2 linked regions of the Mus musculus genome follow. The protein of the gene in region 1 interacts with the protein of each later gene in a pairwise test. Links are inferred from orthologs where the notes say so. Each region holds a gene or a part of one and is shown on either strand. Other genes may lie near its edges.

Evidence for each region.
Region 2: the proteins of Lnx2 (region 1) and Scly interact in binary tests that used the Homo sapiens proteins (3 or more experiments, as listed by UniProt). The link is inferred for Mus musculus from reciprocal best matches to the Homo sapiens genes LNX2 and SCLY.

Annotation. Positions count from the first base shown.
Region 1 is NC_000071.6:147,021,761-147,030,837, reverse strand, and holds part of Lnx2 (ligand of Numb protein X 2), read left to right. Parts: intron 1-1,382; coding exon 1,383-1,751; intron 1,752-2,647; coding exon 2,648-2,785; intron 2,786-3,453; coding exon 3,454-3,631; intron 3,632-6,254; coding exon 6,255-6,486; intron 6,487-9,077.
Region 2 is NC_000067.6:91,298,518-91,307,594, forward strand, and holds part of Scly (selenocysteine lyase), read left to right. Parts: intron 1-136; exon of another isoform or gene 137-151; coding exon of another isoform or gene 152-168; intron 169-547; exon of another isoform or gene 548-886; coding exon of another isoform or gene 887-952; intron 953-2,010; coding exon 2,011-2,123; intron 2,124-4,251; coding exon 4,252-4,352; intron 4,353-6,756; coding exon 6,757-6,937; intron 6,938-9,077. UniProt on the Homo sapiens protein: Catalyzes the decomposition of L-selenocysteine to L-alanine and elemental selenium.

The sequences.
Region 1 (9,077 bases):
TCTCAAGCTCACCGACAGCCGTGCATGCATTCTTAGAGAAGGAGTCTTCTCATAGTTGGGTTCCCCCAGCCTGCTCTGCAGAGAAAGCAGGCTGCATGCTTCTGGATGCAGAACAGACCGGGTTTTCAGCCCAGCATTTTTATCCCGTGTGACCGTCTGAAGATGAACACAGAGGTATCAGCTCGCAGCAGAGCCACTAAAATGATGACAGGCCCATGGGTCCTGTCGGCAGCCTGGCTTTCTAGAACATGCCTTGGAGTTCTGACCTCCATCCAGTGTTATCAATTCTGTCAATGTCTTGGAATTGCTGCTGCTTGCACAAATGCTGTAAACATGCGAGAACAGTAAGCTCATGTACAGTGCCTGAAGATTTGATGACTGGATTTTAAAAGGTATCCATCTGTAGACAAGAATTAACAAGGCAATAGTGTTCAAAACTGTAAAACTCAGAATAAAGCAAACAGCCCAATTCAAAGAGCTCTAACTGCCCATCCGAGTTAGGTAAGAGGAAGAAGGCCTTTTGTGTAGCGGTGCGCACGCATGCCCGGGCTCCTGATGTCACAGTACTAACCCTTAGCTCTCCCATTAGAGGTGCTTAGACAACATTGGTTTTTATCTCTGATGGATTCAGAGAACTCTAATTGTGATAAATACGAAAATTATACTCACCTCCTAGATGGGTAATTGAAGCTGGACTATTTTCCTAAGTGATATGTTACATGTTCAAAGATCAGTCACTGTAATTGTATCAAGGCTGTACATTCTAATGAGTACATGAATATTGAATTACACTCAGCATATTAAATATGCATTATATGAGTATGCTGATAATTAGAGTGGAATTGTAATTACATACTTTAAAAGTCACTCAGAATATGCAACTTTTTAAGAAATAAAATGATTTATTTTGTCTAAAGTAAGTGTGTTTCGTTAGGTAAAGCAGCTTTGAAGTCCAGGAACCTGAGCCTGCGAGCCTGCGAGCCTGGGAGCACTAGAGCTGTCTGATGTGGCTTGCCCTGCCAGGATGTAGCTAGCCTGCTCTCTCTCACACTGGTTCTGGGAAGTAGAGTGGACCCTGAGGAGCCAAATTCCATATTCCCCCAGGTTACCAATAAATAACTAGCAGACCCGAGGACTGTAATCCCAGAGTGTCACCGACTTCTGTGTCCTAAGTACAACACTGTGCTGTAGTGCATTTTAAATTCTCTGCTGTAAAAGTCTTTAGAGGCCTTTTCCTTGTAGATAGGGATCCTGTAGTGTTTTCTCCATATTGCTTTCCTTTGGAGATGTCATCTGGACATTTCTGCAAGTTAGGAATATAGAATACTATAATGTCATATACATATAAGGTCATAGGAGTTCTGTTTGTCTGTTTGTCGTAGGTCAACAACTATGACATCAGCAACGTGTCCCACAACCACGCCCGGGCCGTGCTTTCCCAGCCCTGCAGCACGCTGCAGCTGACAGTGCTGCGGGAGAGGCGCTTTGGCAGCCGTGCCAACAGCCACGCGGACGGCAGCGCGCCACGGGACGAGGTCTTCCAGGTGCTGCTCCACAAGCGAGACTCGACAGAGCAGCTCGGCATTAAACTAGTCCGAAGGACAGATGAGCCGGGCGTTTTCATTCTTGACCTCCTGGAAGGGGGGCTGGCAGCACAGGACGGCAGGCTCAACAGCAATGACCGGGTGCTGGCCATCAACGGGCATGACCTGAAGCATGGGACCCCAGAGCTCGCTGCCCAGATTATTCAGGTAAATGCCCTGTCCTGAGCCTGGATCCTCACACGGCCGTGTCTGTTTTCACTGGCGCATAACCAGGACCAGCGATGGTTCTTTGGAAAATCAGACATGGTTATCTAAAAAGCAGCCTTCAGAATCTACACTGTTATATATAACTCCCTAAACAGAGCTGTGTTTGTGTGTGTGCCACTTGCTTAGGGTGTTGTGGACTGTTTTCCTAGAGCCTGTGGTCCCATGCACTTGTTTGTACAGTGTTGACACCTCAGTTTTACCTCATTTCAAGAAAAGCAAGGGTTCACGTCAACCAGTAAACTTGTCAAAGCAGTTTCCAAGGACGGCTGAAATGCTGGTTTGGAGCTCTGGGTATGAACAGTAATGACAATGAGCGTGTATTATAAGAAAGCCCAGTAGCCACCTGACACTCCCCACCGTGCGACGTAGCAATCATCTGCCTCTCAGAGCCTGGAGCTGCTGCTGGTGGGTGAATGGCTTAGTGCAGTATCAAAGCTGTTTGTCACTTATTTTCCAACTGAAGAGCAGAAAACACAGCAATTTTTATATTAAATTTAATTTTGCATGTGTGTGTGTGTCTGTGTATATTTGTATGACTGTGTGTGTGTGAGAGTGACTGTGTGTTTCCGTGTAAAAGGTTTGAAAATACTAGCCTGTGACCCTCCTGCCACCAGGTAGTGACTGCCCATGAGGCTTTGCTGAGGGACTAACTGGTACACAGAAAATCACAGTATCCCAGGCACTGCGAAGTGGTAGCATTCACTGGCCTGAGGCTGGAGCCCCCAGCCTTGGGCTACTCAGTGAGAACTTGCCTTGATGAGAGAGAAGAGAATGGGTTCCACTGGCAATCTTTAAGCAATCATCCGTGATGGGTACTGATGAACTGTCTTCCCCAGGCCAGTGGAGAGAGGGTGAACTTAACAATTGCCAGACCAGGGAAGCCCCAGCCCAGCAATGGCAGCCGTGAGGCCGGAGCACACAGCAGCAGCAACCACGCTCAGCCACCCTCGCACAGCCGACCGGGCTCACACAAGGTGAGGGGCGGGTCTCTCCTTCAACCCCTGTGGCCCTCTAAGGATCACCGTTACCCCGAAAAAGGTGTAAGCGTAGGCCTTGTGTATGCCTGCCAGTCACAACACAACGTAAAGTCAGGTCTTTTTGGTTTTGTTTGGTTGGTTGGGTTTTGTCTGTTTTTTTGTTTTAAGCCTGAAATGCAGGCTGTCATTCTGTTGGGGGTCTGAGCCTAGGTGTTTGGGGTTCGCAATCCGAGAGTCTCCTCCCACGTCAGCCACTGTAGTTTCTCATCTGTCTGGTGAGTGACAAGAAGTGACCCTCCAGGACAGTCCTTGTGCTTAGTGCTACCTGGGAGCAGGTTCTCGGCTTGCCTGCTCAGATGTGATCATCAGATTTACCACGAAAAATGCATCGTGAGAACATGATAAAGTCCGTGGTTAGCAGCTAGGCACGTTGCCTACGGGAAGAGAATTAGCTGTGCGAACACTGAGACTGGGGATCGCAGGCTTTGACAGACACGTGGATAGTGTGTGGTTTCATGGTATTAAAATCCCCATCTATTGGCTGGGCAGTGGTGGCACAGGCTGCAGTGCCAGCACTCGGGAGACAGAGGCGGGCGGATCTCTGTGAGTTCAAGGCCAGCCAGAGTGAGTTCCAGGTAAATGCAAGGCCTTCCCTCGAACCGTAGGACCTCACCCGGTGCGTCACGTGCCAGGAGAAGCACATCACTGTAAAGAAGGAGCCGCATGAATCCCTCGGGATGACGGTTGCTGGGGGCAGAGGGAGCAAGAGTGGTGAGCTGCCCATCTTTGTGACCAGCGTGCCACCCCACGGCTGCCTCGCTCGAGACGGCAGGATCAAGAGAGGTAAGGCAGGCAAGAGTCCTGGAAGCTCTGCAAGGTCCAATCTCAGAAGTACAGTCACATTTTTAAGGAGTAATTACTGTGTTTCATGTTAAACCTGACTTTTAAAACTCTTTTAAAAGGGTCCTTGTATAGAAAACGTCGTGTTCTCCTGTAAGGTTAGGAATTAACCCTGACCGTGGTTCGAGACTCTGCAGTTACTCGGACCATCGGCTGATTTTTATCTTGGAAAAGAGCCTCTGAGATTCTTGCGCCCCCGGCCCTGGCAGATAGTGCTGAAGACCATGTCCCTGAAATACAGCGCTGGGTACAGTAAAGCACCCAGGACCCGTGTGATGGCCGAGCAGGGAAAAGCGCCTGCCGTCCAAGCCCAGAACTCAGCAAAGAAGACAGGGTTCTGACACTGCAGAGCGTGTGTGGAGGACAAAGCTAGTTCAGAGATTTGACTCCTTCACACCATGGCCCCCTCAAGTCTGTTAATGTGCACAAGGGAAACCATATAAGTGAGCACTGTTGCCATGACGGAGCAGCCGTCTCTATGGTGAGGTTCACATGGGAAGAAAATTAAAGCTGAAAAGTTATTTTCCCAGGAATGAAGGTGGGCTCCCTCCCCAACCTCACACAAGCAAGCTCACAATGAATTTAAGACCCCGTGTAAAAACTAAGGCCCTTGTGAGGAGCCCACAGGCCAAGTCTTATGGCCTGTAATTAGGCAGTGATGTCTTAGGTAACCTGCAGAGTGGGATGAACAGTAACAAATCATACATTTATGTATGTGTACGTGCCATAGCAAGGAATTGTACAGAACTTTTCCAAATCAGTTAAAACCATACATTACCTAATTTAGGGACAGAAATAGACATTTCTCCTAAGGCGGCAATTGCATGGAAAACAGCTCACCCGACTGCTTGCCAGAGACAGGGTTCTGATGCCCTCAGACTGCTGTAAAATGTTCTCGGGCACGGTGGTGGTGCTCTGCGGCGGGCAGACCAAAGCCCACAGTGCTGGGCGTGTATTTCAACAAGGCTACTATCTTTTCTTAAGGTACTTGGCCAATTATAGAATTTGGTGACAGTTCAGTTCCTTCTTGGGTTTTGGTTGGTTTTGGCTTTGTTGTTGAGCACACATGGGACAAGGGCTTCCCGAGATTTTTTTTTTTTTGACTCCACAGCTATTTGTTTATTTTTGTAGTGCTCTCAGAAATTGAGTTACACAAAACAACAATCCAAACCCCACCTTTCCTCAAGAACTATACAAAAGGGTTGTTTCTGTGACAGCCACTCCTCCATAAATAGTGGCTCCCGAGTCAAGCTACTGCAGGAGCCCTGCCACCACTCCATGCTGCAGCAAACAATGAAGCCCGACAGGGGCCTCCGTCCCCTAACCTGCAGTGGGCTCCGAGCACAGGTTCACGGAGCAAAATGTTGTTCTACACAACAGCAAAAATAAGCCAAATACCTGATTCACACAGGAAGTGCAATGAAGAGGAAAAAAAACCTGCAGATTCCCAGCTTAACAAGCTCCCAGTTTTATGTTCTCTCTGTACACACATGCTACCACTACCATCTGAACAACTCTAACCTTTCTCAGCCCCTTTATGTAAGAGGAGGAAAACATTGTAGCTAGCCTGCACAAAAGACACAGTCTGGTTGTTATAAGCCAGAAGCCTAGGCAGGTTTGGAGCGATTCTAACTTACATCCCAGCCATTATGTCCCTCGTTACTTGCTGTTTCTCCTGGCCACATGTTCATGGTCCGTCTCCTCTCATGGCGGCAGCCACCACCTCCGTGTTCTTTTTTCTCCTCCCTTTGGCCTCACCTGAGACTCCTCACTCGGTCCTCAAGTTCTACCTTTCTCCCTCCACTGCCCAGTCACAGGCTCTAGCCTTTTATTGACCAATTGGGGAGCAAGGTTCTCGTAGCATCACTTGGTATATGGGAGGATCTGCTCATGGAGGCAGCCATGTCTTGGGGAGCAGTACTTAACGTTTGAATATATAGCAGCGTCAGACCAACCCCCTACACTTGTATCCTTTAATAATCCCCGTGTCTCCTTTTTATTGTTTTGTTTTATCTTATTTTATTTCATCTAACTTGGGAGACCAACAAACATGCTGCTCCCCTTCAAGCAAGGGAAGATGTTTCATATCACCAAGTGTCCCGAGAGTGGCTGCTCTCATGATCTGGGATGTGTGCCCTGTATGTATAAAATTGTGTAATATTAAATAGAATCTGTTAAAAAAAAAAAGTGATTTCTAAAAGCAAAGGATCAGATGGTTTGGTGTTCAGAAAGAACTGTAGAGCTCTCAGAAGCTCAAGAGGGAAGTTGTCACCCTCATCCTGTACACAGCTACCCAGATGGTGACTCAGACTCGGGGGCCTCACAAGGTGCTTCAAGCCACAGTGTGCTCCTCTGGAGTCTGACCTTGTTTGAGTTCCAAGCTGTTTTAAAATGTTTCCTACGAGTTGTCCTTGGTAGCACAGAAAAGCACAAATGCTTTTGTAAAACCCCACTTCCACCCATCCAAGCTCTTGAAACCGCCCCATCAATTAGTTGGCAAGCAGGAGCTTCGGGGAGTCACGTGGTACTAGGGTCACTCACTCTCCTGGCCTTCCCAACGGCACAGGTGACGTGTTGCTGAACATCAACGGCATTGACCTGACCAACCTAAGTCACAGCGAGGCTGTGGCCATGCTGAAAGCCAGCGCTGCGTCTCCGGCCGTCATCCTCAAGGCCCTGGAAGTGCAGATCGCCGAGGAAGCAGCCCAGGCCACCGAGGAGCAGCCGAGCGCCTTCAGTGAGAACGAGTACGACGCCAGCTGGTCCCCGTCCTGGGTCATGTGGCTCGGGCTGCCAAGGTACCAAGAGCTCTCTCGGTCTGATGTCTCAGAGTGAGCGTGTTTTAACTTTTATCAGTTACACGGTTAACTCACCCAGTGCGTAGAGAGGGCGTTAGTTAGGTAAAGTGCACCAAATTATAAAAGCAAAAAAGTGTATCTTCTTGTAAAACGAAGACAATTCCCTTTAAGGAGGGATTTTTGTTTGTTGTTGTTTTGGGGGTTTTGTTTTGTTTAGTGTTTTTGAGGGGGGGCGGCACTGCGTCTCCCCCTTGTACATGGGCTGAGAGTCCAGGCACACACCACCACACCTGGCTTTTCTGTTTGGGCTCTGGGAATCCAGACTCAGGGCCTCACACTTGTACAGGAGAGTTTCTGGGGCAGGGTCTCACTCTGTAGCCTAGGCTAGCCAAGAGCTTAGAATCATTTTGTAAAAAGGTAGTTAGAACTGAGTCTGTACTGAACAAAGGAGACGTGACCAGCAAGCTGCTCTCTGGCTGGCCGGTAGGGACCAGGGAAACGTTGGAACCTCCCTGGCACCCTGGGGTGCTTGCCTTTCTCCAGATGGTTGCTGCTGGTGCTGAGATAGGAAGAGCGTGTGTTACTGTGCTTATTTGTGTCTAAAGTAATTTAGATTCTCATTATCTATAAAAAGCATGGTGAAGCATGTTTGACTATTAGCCAAGTACGAAGCTGCTGGTTCCTAAATAAAAATAAACCAGAACGCTGCACCACTTTCTGAGTCATCTGCCTCATGTGGGGTAAGGTAGTGTACAGCCAGGAGCGCTTCCCGCACGCTGTGCGCTCCGTGAAGAACTCTCTCATGAGGAACAGCAGGTACCTCCGAGGGGTTGCGTTCATTCGCTCCTGCCCCAGCTCTCTGGCTGGCTCCCGGGAGCTCTTGGTGGTTTTGTTTCTTGGTTTTCAATCCCAAGGCCTAGAAGTGATGTCTCGCAGACGTGGCAGGACCTTGTGGAGTGGGATTGATGATGGGAAAGTGACCTTCTTGTGTCCTGCATGTTTATCAGGGCATCAGCCCTGGGAGTCAGAGGCTGCAGAGATGGCTCTGTGGATCTGAGCACTTGGCGTTCTTGCAAGGGCCCCTGGTATGGTTCCTGGCACCCCCATGACGGCTCCCAACTGTCTGCAGTTTCAGAGGCTCCCACACCCTCTTCTGTCCCCGCTGGCACTGCACATACATGGTGCACATATACATACATGTAGGAAACAGACATTCACATAGAATGGATCCTTTTTGAAAACCGGGCGCAAATGATTACTATCCCACTGCTGCAAGAGCTACTGTCTAAACCAGGGAACTCAGGAGTCTTGTTCAGCTGATACCTGGGTAGTCAGGTTCATCCCAGAGTGGCTGGGAGACAAGGATGGAACCCGAAGACACAGGCAGGTGGATCTCTGTTATTTTGAGGCCAGCCTGGTCCACATAGTGAGATACAGGATAGCCAGGGCTGTCTCAACGACAAAACAAAACAACAATAAAGAGGTTAGAAGCTGTTTGCCCGGACAATGGGGGATCGGTCAGAATAGCAACCTCCTAGGAAATCCCGGGACCCTGGTGCTGCCTTTAGCTGGCTCTGTGCCAGCCTGGTTTGGGGGCTGCATGTTCTCACTGTTGTGCATTGCATTTTATGGCACGCCAGGCATAGCAAGAAAGGATTTGTGTCATCTGTGTGTGCGTGTGTGTGTGTGTTTGTATGTATCTGTGTGTTTGTATCTGTTTGCATCAGTGTGTGTGGTGTGAGGGTGTGTGTGTGTGTGTGTGTGTGTCCCCGTCCACGAGTGAGTGTGTGTGTGTGTGTGTGTGTGTGTGTGTGTGTGTGTGTGTGTGTGTGTAGGCTGAAGATCAACATCCGCTGTCTTCCTTGATGGCTCTACACCTTTGCTTGTTGAGGCAGCATCTCTCACTGAACCGTTTGGCTAGGCTGGTAGCCAGTGAGCTTTTGGGGTCTGCCTAGCGCTGCTGCCCCCGCCCCGTGCCCAGCACTGTGGTTACAGATGTAAGTTGCCCCATGTCCGGCTTTTTTTATGTGGGTCCTGTAGCTTACCAGGCAAGAACTTTAGCAACTGAGCCAGCCCCTCCCCTCAGCTCAGAAAGGGTTTTAGACAAGTTGTCACAAGTTGACAGTATAGTGAGATACATTTTTGAGCTTGCCTGAATGGATGCCTATACATATAGGCTATTGTGTGGCCTGAGTTCCCCTGCACTGCCCTGCTACACCGGATGCTGGCCTGCTTGCTGTAAAGGATGCAGAGCTATGAAGGTGACTGTACTGTGCCTGAGGATCTGGGCCAGGGGTGAGACTTCCGGCTTGCCAGAGCCTCTTTAGAAGTCCCTACCCCTGAGCTAAGGGTTGTGGCACCATGCTGGAGGTTGTTTGTCATTTGTAGCAGATTAGAAACCAGATAGCCTTGTCTCTGATATTTGTATTAGTTCCGGTGGGGACAAACAAATCACAAGCAACATGAGGAGGAGGAGGAGGAAGGCTTGTTTCACATGTTGAGGCTGTGGCCATCAAGGCAGAGAGGGAGGGCTGGCTCTGAGGATGGAGCCTGAGGCAACTGCTAGTCACCGGCATCCTGAGGCAGATGGT
Region 2 (9,077 bases), on another chromosome or scaffold:
CGGGAGGAAGGGACACGCAGAAGCGTCCGGCCACAGGAACCGGGAGAGAACAGGCTACCGCCCAAGCTGAGGGCAGAAGGGGGCCCACGGGTGACAACTGTGCCGAGTGTGGCCACATCATCCTCCCGCGTTTCGGGCTTCTTCCCAGGGAATGGGCTCTTCCTGGAGGTTGGAACTGGCAGCCGAATCGCGATTATCTGCGTTTTACAAGAATCGCCGCTGCTTAGAGTCTAGGATGGCGTGGCTGTGGGACGGGGGGGAACGGGGGGGGGGGACGGGACTTTGGGGCCCATTTGACCACCCGAAGGTTTAAAGTGGGCTTTGGGGCGGGAACCCTAGGAGCACCAGGACAGTGGGGGAGACCTGCCTTCTCTTGCTGTCCACTGGGCTGTGGGACCTCCTCCCCTGGCGCGCAAGGAACCGGAGGTCCTGGCTCAGCCTTCTCCCACCCAGGAATGTGTTATACCAGAAGCCCCCTCTCCATCCCCATCTCATTTTTTTCTTCTTTCTCTTTTCTCTTTTACCCCCGGTCCCTCCTCCACCTCAGCCCCATAAGGCCTCGATATGTAGTCCAGGCTACTCCTGCCTTCTCCGATATGGTGGAACTTGCCTATAATCCCAACACTGAGGACAGGAGGATTGTGATTTGGAGGCCAGCTTGGATCACACAGTGAGAACCTGTCTCATAAAGGCCTAAGCCTGGTGGCTTGAGCCTATACCAGACGTTTATTAAGCAGTTTCACTTTCTCTAGGAAGCCCGCTAATAACAGAGTCAATCGCTGATAAAATGCAAACCATAAACCAGTTCGGCCAAGCTATAGATGGGAAAACCAGTCACTTGGCAGGCCTATGGGTGTGCAGCACTTTGGGGGCTCTTTATTTCTAGGAAGGAACAGACTTGGGACACAGGCAAAGCCTGCGGCAATGGGAATTCCAGCCCCAGGGTGGTCAGGTAGGTCCACATTACAAAGCCCAGCCTTGCAAGATCAGGTGACTGCGTGGCACTTAAAGCAAAGATAGGAGATGAAAGCTTCTTCCTGCCTGTTCTGCCGTGCTCCCCTGGACATAGTTGGGCAGTGTGTGCTGGCTCACCACTGCATCGGCTTGAACACTGGTTTGATGTAAAACCAAGTGAAATAATGACTGTTTTCAGGCCCGATTGCCTACCATAGAGATTTCCGAAGGTCTGGGACCCTGGTGAGAACACAAGCAGATAACTCTCCTTAGGGAGGGTCTCTGGGGCTTTGAACTCTGTGTCCTGTGGATGAAGTTCCTACATAGGAAGACAAAGCCTGCTTGTTCCTGGAGCTGCTCATCACTTGCTCCCTAGAGAGGACACTAAGCATGTGACTCTTGGGTCAGATGATGAATGGGTCCACAGCGGAAGACAGGGAGGGAGGGAGGGAAGGAAGAGGGCCAGGCTGCGTGCGGCCTACAGTTTCCAATCGAACCCTGGAGCCTCATCCAAACAGATCTGCTGAAGCACAGACTTTAAAAAGTTTAGGTAGAGTGGGGGTGGGGCAAGAAAAACTGAAAATGCAAGTTGCCCCAGGGAGAGACCTGCCCAGTAAAAGCCAGGGAGGGGACAGCCATAGCCCTGGGAAGCCTCCAGCAAAGATGAGTACAAAGCTCCTTCCTAGAGGCAGTTCCTGGAGGACTGGAAGGGGCAGATGGCTCCAAGTTGTTGGGAAATTACCCAGGGGAATGTGGGACTCCCCAGCCATTGGCAGATCCTTCCTCCCTCCCTTCCTGGAGTTGGGCCGCATCTCTGGCCTCCAGCCATCAGTCAGCCTCATGCTAGGGGAGATTATGGCCATCTTGTATGGGGCAGCTACTGGGTGACTGGAAACCATGGTGTCTCCCATCAGGAGGGAGAACATGGAGAGCTGAGGTCTAATAGCCTACCTGGGCCTTCACTCTAGATGCAGAAGACCCTCACTGTGGTCCCCCAAAAGAGTATTGCTGCTATACTCTGCCTCCCCAAACTTTACAGGCTATTCTCTCTTCCAGGAAGGTCTATATGGACTATAATGCCACCACACCTCTAGAGCCCGAAGTCATCCAGGCTGTGACAGAGGCCATGAAGGAAGCCTGGGGAAACCCCAGCAGCTCCTATGTGTCAGGTAATCTAGAAGAATCCATGACAATAAAGGGAACCAGAAGCCTCTTAGAGAAAGTGTATACTAACCTGACTTGGTGGCATGTGCCTTTAATCCCAGCACTCAGAGGCAGACTGCTCTCAGAGTTCAAAGCCAGCCTGGTCTACAAAGTGAGTTCCTGGACAGCCAGGGCTACCTAAACTGAGAATCCGTGTCTCAAATAAAAAACAAACAAAAATGGGTGGGGGTATATAAAGTGTATGCTTACATGAGATGGTTTTGTTTGGGAATGGGGTGGACTTTCATTTTTCTTTCAACTTTAAAGTTAGTACAATGCCTATATTGCTTAACAGAATTCCCAAGAGTTTTTTTTTAAGCACACTTTAGAAAAATGGAAACAAAATAATTACGTTCTAATCTTTAAGCATTGTGTCACTAAAGTCTACATAGTGTCTTCTATGTAAATTAGCATCATGTTACAATTATATACCTGACTTGATTCTTAAAGTCTTCTGTCCCTGTATGATATCCTAGCTAGGAACTACACATCCCACAGGCTGGGATTAAAGGCATGTGCCACCACTGCCAGGCTTATAATTATATTCTTACTTCTTTCTAGTTTGCCTTTGTGGTGTAGAGTTTTAAATTTTTGCATTTTTGGATGATAATTTGCTTCAAGTCAGTAGTCAAAAAGACAGCATTCCACATTTTCTCCACAGACTTGGAGGCTAATCATGCTTTGCCTTCCTAGTTAATGTTTATCAGCAGAAGGCAAGGGCCCCGCACCCAGCCCTGCACTGTGTAATTAGGGTAACTAAGACAAGCCACATTAATGATGGTTTATTGGGAAATGAGTGCCAGCCAGGGGACTAAAGATGACCCAAGCTAACTGATCTGCCACCAGGTCTTACTGGTACCTCTGTCCCTCCGTAAGGGGTTTGGTGGGTCATAGCAGTTGCTTATTGAAAGCTCCCCAGCAACTCAGTGACACAGACTTTCCAGATCAGATGCTAGTCACCCATTAACTTGTCTGTTGCCTTATTTCTGGACATTGCCATCTGCCTAATGTCCCCTGTAGTATAGTCAAACTTCTGTTAGGGTACACTAGAGAAGGCCAAGAAGATTAAGGGTCAACAGGAAGTGGGGCACACAGTGGGAGACCGTTGCTGGCCTGGGTGACATCCCAGCTGCTTTCTGTTGATATTTGAGTAGAAATGCCAAGAAAAGTGAAAATCATGAATCACAAATGTTTGCCTGTCTTGTTTTCAAGGCAGATGGGATCTCACTGTGTAGCTCTGGCTTCCGGGAATTTACTCTGTAGCCCAAGCCTGCCTCAAATTCACAGAGATCCACCTGTGTCTGCCTCCAGAGTGCTAGGATTAAAGGCATGTACCACCACCCCAGCTCATCACAGATGTTTTAGTGTGTCACAGTATTAGGTTTTAAAATCTACAGCAATGTGTGCTGAGGTTCTGTGGGAAGAGTTTGAGTGCTCCAGATGTGGCCTTGCTTGTAACAGCCAACAGCATTTGGAAGTGAGCGGAGAAGGGGAGAGGTTCTGGCCTACTGGGCAGCATGGGAAAGCTGGTCTGGACCCAGCATCAAATGTAGGGACCACTGGTATGTTGGCTGAGAGCCGCATAGAGCCACCTTCCTCTGACACAGTGTTCAGTGCAACTGGGCAGCAGCCAGGACACCTAATTGAAGGCAAATGCTTCCAACCTTCCTCCTGTGTCTCCCAAGGCTGACCTGAGGTTGAGAGAAGGCACTGGCTGACCGGGTGTGTAAAGCCTCATGTTCTGTTTGGTTACTTCTGTGGTTCCTTGTCCTATCATGAATGGTGGGAAGGTGGGCGGCTAGCCATAGCACCCCCTCCTCTAGCATCCAGTAAGAAAGAAAAGCTGTGCTGGGGGAGCCTAGATTCCCCCCAACCAAGCTGCCCCTGGCTCTCACTGAGTTCCGGTGGTGGGCACTGACTTCCTAAGTCTCTCAATGTGGCCCCTTTGCTGATGCCCCACCAAGTGGTAGGAAAGTGTGCTCCTTTTAGTGGGTGTGTCTCCTTTTAGAATCACCCCAGTCCTTGGCTTCCCTTATCTAGTTGCTCTGTTAGATGTGGAATTGCTAGTAATGACCATGTTTTTTGTCCTTCAAGGTAGGAAGGCCAAGGACATTATAAATGCAGCTCGAGCGAGCCTGGCCAAGATGATAGGTGGAAAGCCCCAGGACATCATCTTCACTTCTGGGGGCACCGAGGTAAAGCTGCTGCCTTTACCAAAAGGCAATGATGGGGTAGGGGTGGGGTCACATCAGGAACAGTTGTTAGCTGTGGATCACAGGTTACTTCAGCCACAGCAGTTTTTAGATTAAAAGTCAATTGGTTTGGGGGTTTTTTGTTTGGTTGGTTGGTTTTAGTTTGTTGGTTGATTGGTTGGTTGGTTGGTTTTTGCTTCTTGTTTTTTGTTTTGTTTTGTGTCTGTAATAGGCATTGACCAGGACATAAAAATGTCACTTAGGAAATAGATCCAGTAGAAAAGAACTGGTGAGACCTCCCAGGGAGGTGACAGACATTTCCTGGGGCCTCCTAAGAAGTTCTGACCCTGCTTTGCAGATTGGAGGATGTGGGTTCTTTTAAAACCAATCAGCTGACTCAGTACAGCCTCTGTTAAAATTCTGACAATGAACTCTCACAAATGAACTCATGTAGAAGCTAAGAGTCAAGGCTTCTGGAAGATTAGCTGCCCAATGAGAAGGGTGGACACTCCCCAAACCAAGACTGTAAGAGCTCCCATAGCTACGCAGACAGCTTTAGCAAGGATAGACATTTGGTCAGAGACAGTGTGTCAGTGCGAACACTTGCTGCGAGACTAGGTGGCCACACATCTTGCCTGCTCAGGACAGGCCTGGACAGCCATTGTCCATACAGTAGTAGGGCATAAGACTGTCATGTGAGTGAGTGGGCAGATCGTAGGGAACCCTGCCTAACTGTGCTGCCACTGGACCCAGGAGTCAACTTCTGCTGTTCAGCAGAGATGGGACCAAGAAGTGACATTAGAAAGTCCTTAGCTGGGGGCTGGAGAGATGGATTGGCGGTTAAGAGCACTGGCTGCTCTTCCGAAGGTCCTGTGTTCAATTCCCAGCAACCACATGGTGGCTTTCGGCCATCCATAATGGAATACCCTCTTCTGGTGTGTCTGAAGACAGCTACAGTGTACTCATATAAATAAAATAAATCTTTAAAAAAAAAAAAGAAAAAGAAAGTCCTTAGCTGCTGCCTCAGTACCTCTGTAGTGTCTGACAACGAAAGGTTTCTCAAAGCAAGTGTGGATAGGGTCTACTTTAAAGGAGAGCATTGGGCTGGGCAGCCGAGGCAGGAAGATCACATGTATGAGCCAAAACCAACCAGGGAGACACTGAATTGTGTTCCAGCAAACAGTAACAGATAAACTTTGCATTATCGGAGAATACTTCAAGGAAAGTCAAAGAGCATTTGAAAAAGGCTTTCATCTCACGGAGCTGACCAACAGCTAGCACCCAGGACAGCTGGGGGACTCGCACAACTCACAGGGGGATAACAGCCAGCAAACGAGTCAGAGACTTTGTATTAGTCAGCGGTCTCTAGAGTCACAGAACTTATGGGTCATCTCTATATAGTAAGGGAATTTGTTGATGACTTACAGTCTGTAGTCCAACTCCCAACAATGGTCAGCAGCAGCTGTGTGAATGGAAGTCAAAGGATCTAGCAGTTGCTCAGTCCCACAAGGCAAGCAGGCAGAAGGAGAGAAAGAGTGTAAATCTTCCTTCTTCCAACGTCCTTATGTAGGTCTCCAGCAGAAGGTGTGGCCCAGATTAAAGGTATGTACCACCATGCCTTTAATCCCAGATGACCTTGAACTCACACGTCTCCCTGTCTTAATGTTTGGAATTCATAGCCACTATGCCTCAAGATCTCTATACCAAGATCCAGATCAGAAACTTCTATCTCCCAGCCTCCAGATTAGGATCACTGGTGAGCCTTCCAATTCTGGATTGTAGTTAATTCCAGATATAGTCAAGTTGACCACCAGGAATAGCCACTACAGATTTGAACACAGGTGCGGCCATGAGGGAAGCCCCAGGGCTTTCTACCCTTCCCAGCCTCTCCTGACCAGTGCAGAAGTGTAAATGCTAGTGCTAACTGGGAATAATGTACCCTGAGGCAGAACAGGTGACTCACAGGCTCTGGGGAGAAAAGAAACTCCGAGGCAGATTCTGCTGGCCAGGATCTGGGGCCAAATACTGTGTGGAATAGCTTGCGCTCTGATGGCAGAGGTATATTTTAACTTTAATTTGATTTTTTATTTTTTTCTTTTATCTTATATTTGTGCCTGTGTATCCCTCCAGCTTGTGTTCCTCCAGCGTGGGGTAGAATTCTTCTTCTTGTCAGATTTATGTAATATGAAAGTTTGGGCTTACTAACAAAACAGACACACTTGAAGTGAGCTCTAGAGTATTTAATGTTCGGAGCTGTCTGAAGGCGCAGGCCTGTCAGGAGGTTGGTTTTCTCTGGGTTTTTCCTTTTGCTGTGTTAGGCAGGAAGGAGAATAATGAGCGATTGAGAGCTTCCTCTCTCTCCACTGGCAGCTTTGGTGAAGGCTCTCTCTCTGTTGTGTCTCTGCAGTCAAATAATTTAGTAATCCACTCTATGGTAAGATGCTTCCATGAACAGCAGACCCTGAAGGGGAACATGGTTGACCAGCACAGCCCAGAAGAGGGGACCAGGCCCCATTTTATCACTTGCACAGTGGAACACGACTCCATCCGGCTGCCCCTGGAGCACCTGGTGGAAAATCAAATGGCAGGTTAGTGACCGTGGGGACCATCCTGGACCTCAGTGAGGAGATAGAGAGGCCACTCAGAACCCGGTTCACACACCCTGCAGACGTGTGTACCGAATCATTTTGGCCTCTTCAGAAGCTGATGGCTGTTCCCGGCTGTTCGCACTGTTCTTACGTTCAGCTGTTATGGATAAAGCTGCATAAGCTGCCTAGGGAGAGTGTTTGTGTGGGAGTTGGATCGGAATTGCTGGGTCGTACAGAAACCGAGTTTAAGCTGAGCGGTGGCGGTGGTGGCCATGCATGCCTTAAATCCCAGCACTCAGGAGGCAGAGTCAGGCGAATCTCTGTTAGTTCAGTGCCACCCTGTTCTATGAAGCTAGTTCAGGGACAGCCAGGGATACACAGATAGAGAGACCCTGTCTTGAAACCATATGTGACAGATTCTTGGGTAGACTTGATTAACCTTAGTCTTTGCTTTCCAGTCAATGTCACCATCTGACACCACCACCGACAGTCTCTTCTCTTTGCTGGAGCTTCTTGTCCGTCTGTTCTGTCGCAGTCACCATCATCGGGCCAACCTCTGTGGTCTTTCGGTGCCTACCGTCTTTTCACACTGTCTTGGCTATTTTGTATACGTCTCCTTTGTAGGACTCTCTGCTCATGTTCTTGGCCTTTCTGGTTTTATTTTTGCTGTTTGGTGGTGTTGGGGATTGATCACAGGACCTCAAGTGTGCTAGTCCAGTACTCCACCGCTAACAGTTGAGGCCGCCAGCGGCCCACGTGTCTGGGTTCTAGCCTGGGAAGCATCTTGGAATCTGGAAGAAAAGAGGGAACTAGGCGGCACGAGAGAGAATGGAACCAAGACATCAATCAGTCTGATCAAGGTTCAATTTTACTATTCCGAGACAGCAGGTTATGAAGAAGGGGGAGGGGCCCATTCCCGCCAAATCATCCTTGGAGTCCAGTTGCAGGTGACCACGTGTTTGGCTCCAGAACAGCTAGGCGGCAGGTAGTAGCAGTGGGAGTGGCAGACCGATAGGGTGGCAGGCTCCACCCCTGATGCTCTCCTAGCAGTCAAACCTGGCCAGCCAGATTTCAGGCTGAGAGGGAGAGGTTACAGCTCAGTCCCTTGCCCTAAGTTTTACTGCTTATCTTTCTATTGACTTACACGAATTTCACATATATTTGACACAAGCCAACTAACTTTTGATGAGGTCTACTTGCTTTTGGCTTTTATTTTTGTTTTCTGTCTTGTGTCATATATAAGAAGACTTCACCCTACCCCATGTCATGAAGATGCCATCCCAGCGCCTAGTAGGTTTTCAGTTTTGATTCTTTTTTTTTTTTTTTTTTTTTGGTTTTTCGAGACAGGGTTTCTCTGTGTAGTCCTGGCTGTCCTGGAACTTGCTCTGTAGACCAGGCTGGCCTCGAACTCAGAAATTCACCTGCCTCTGCCTCCCAAGTGCTGGGATTAAAGGCGTGCGCCACCACGCCCGGCTTCAGTTTTGATTCTTACGGTTAAGTCTGTGGTGCACTGTGAGCTAGGAGTAAGAATTTGTGTCTTTGTATGAGATTGGCTCTCTTTTTATGTTTTGAAAACTAGATTGTATGTACAGCGGTGCAATTGAGATATTAAACAATGCTCTAGTAGAATGATTTGATATGGTTTTATCTAACCTCTTGCTTCCAATCTCTGTATCACCAAATCTGACATTTTGCTCAAAGATGGAAGGTGACCCATTGATGACAGCCATAAGAGCCACTGAGACATCCCATGGGGCTGGTCTATGTGTCCTCTAGTGTGGTGGAACCCAGCCCTGGAACCCCAGCTTTGGTTCACAAAGTTCCAGGGGTGCTTCTCTCCAAACCGTAAAGCCCAGACCACCCTGTGAGAGACCCCAACACCGGCCCAGGTGGGAAGAAAAGTGGGAGACACATCCAGATCCCCAGAAATGGCTTCAGATGGATTCCTTTTGTCGTGTCTTGTCTGATGCCTGACTCTATCTGGCCCATGTGTGCTGGCCTGTTGTCCTTCTATCTTTTGTCACAGTAGGGTTTTTAAAATAATTTTTCAATATAAAAGTGAATTTTCTTACAGATTCACTTATAAGAATTTATGTAAGCGAGGCTGGCAAGATGGCTCAGCAGGTAAGAGCACTGACTG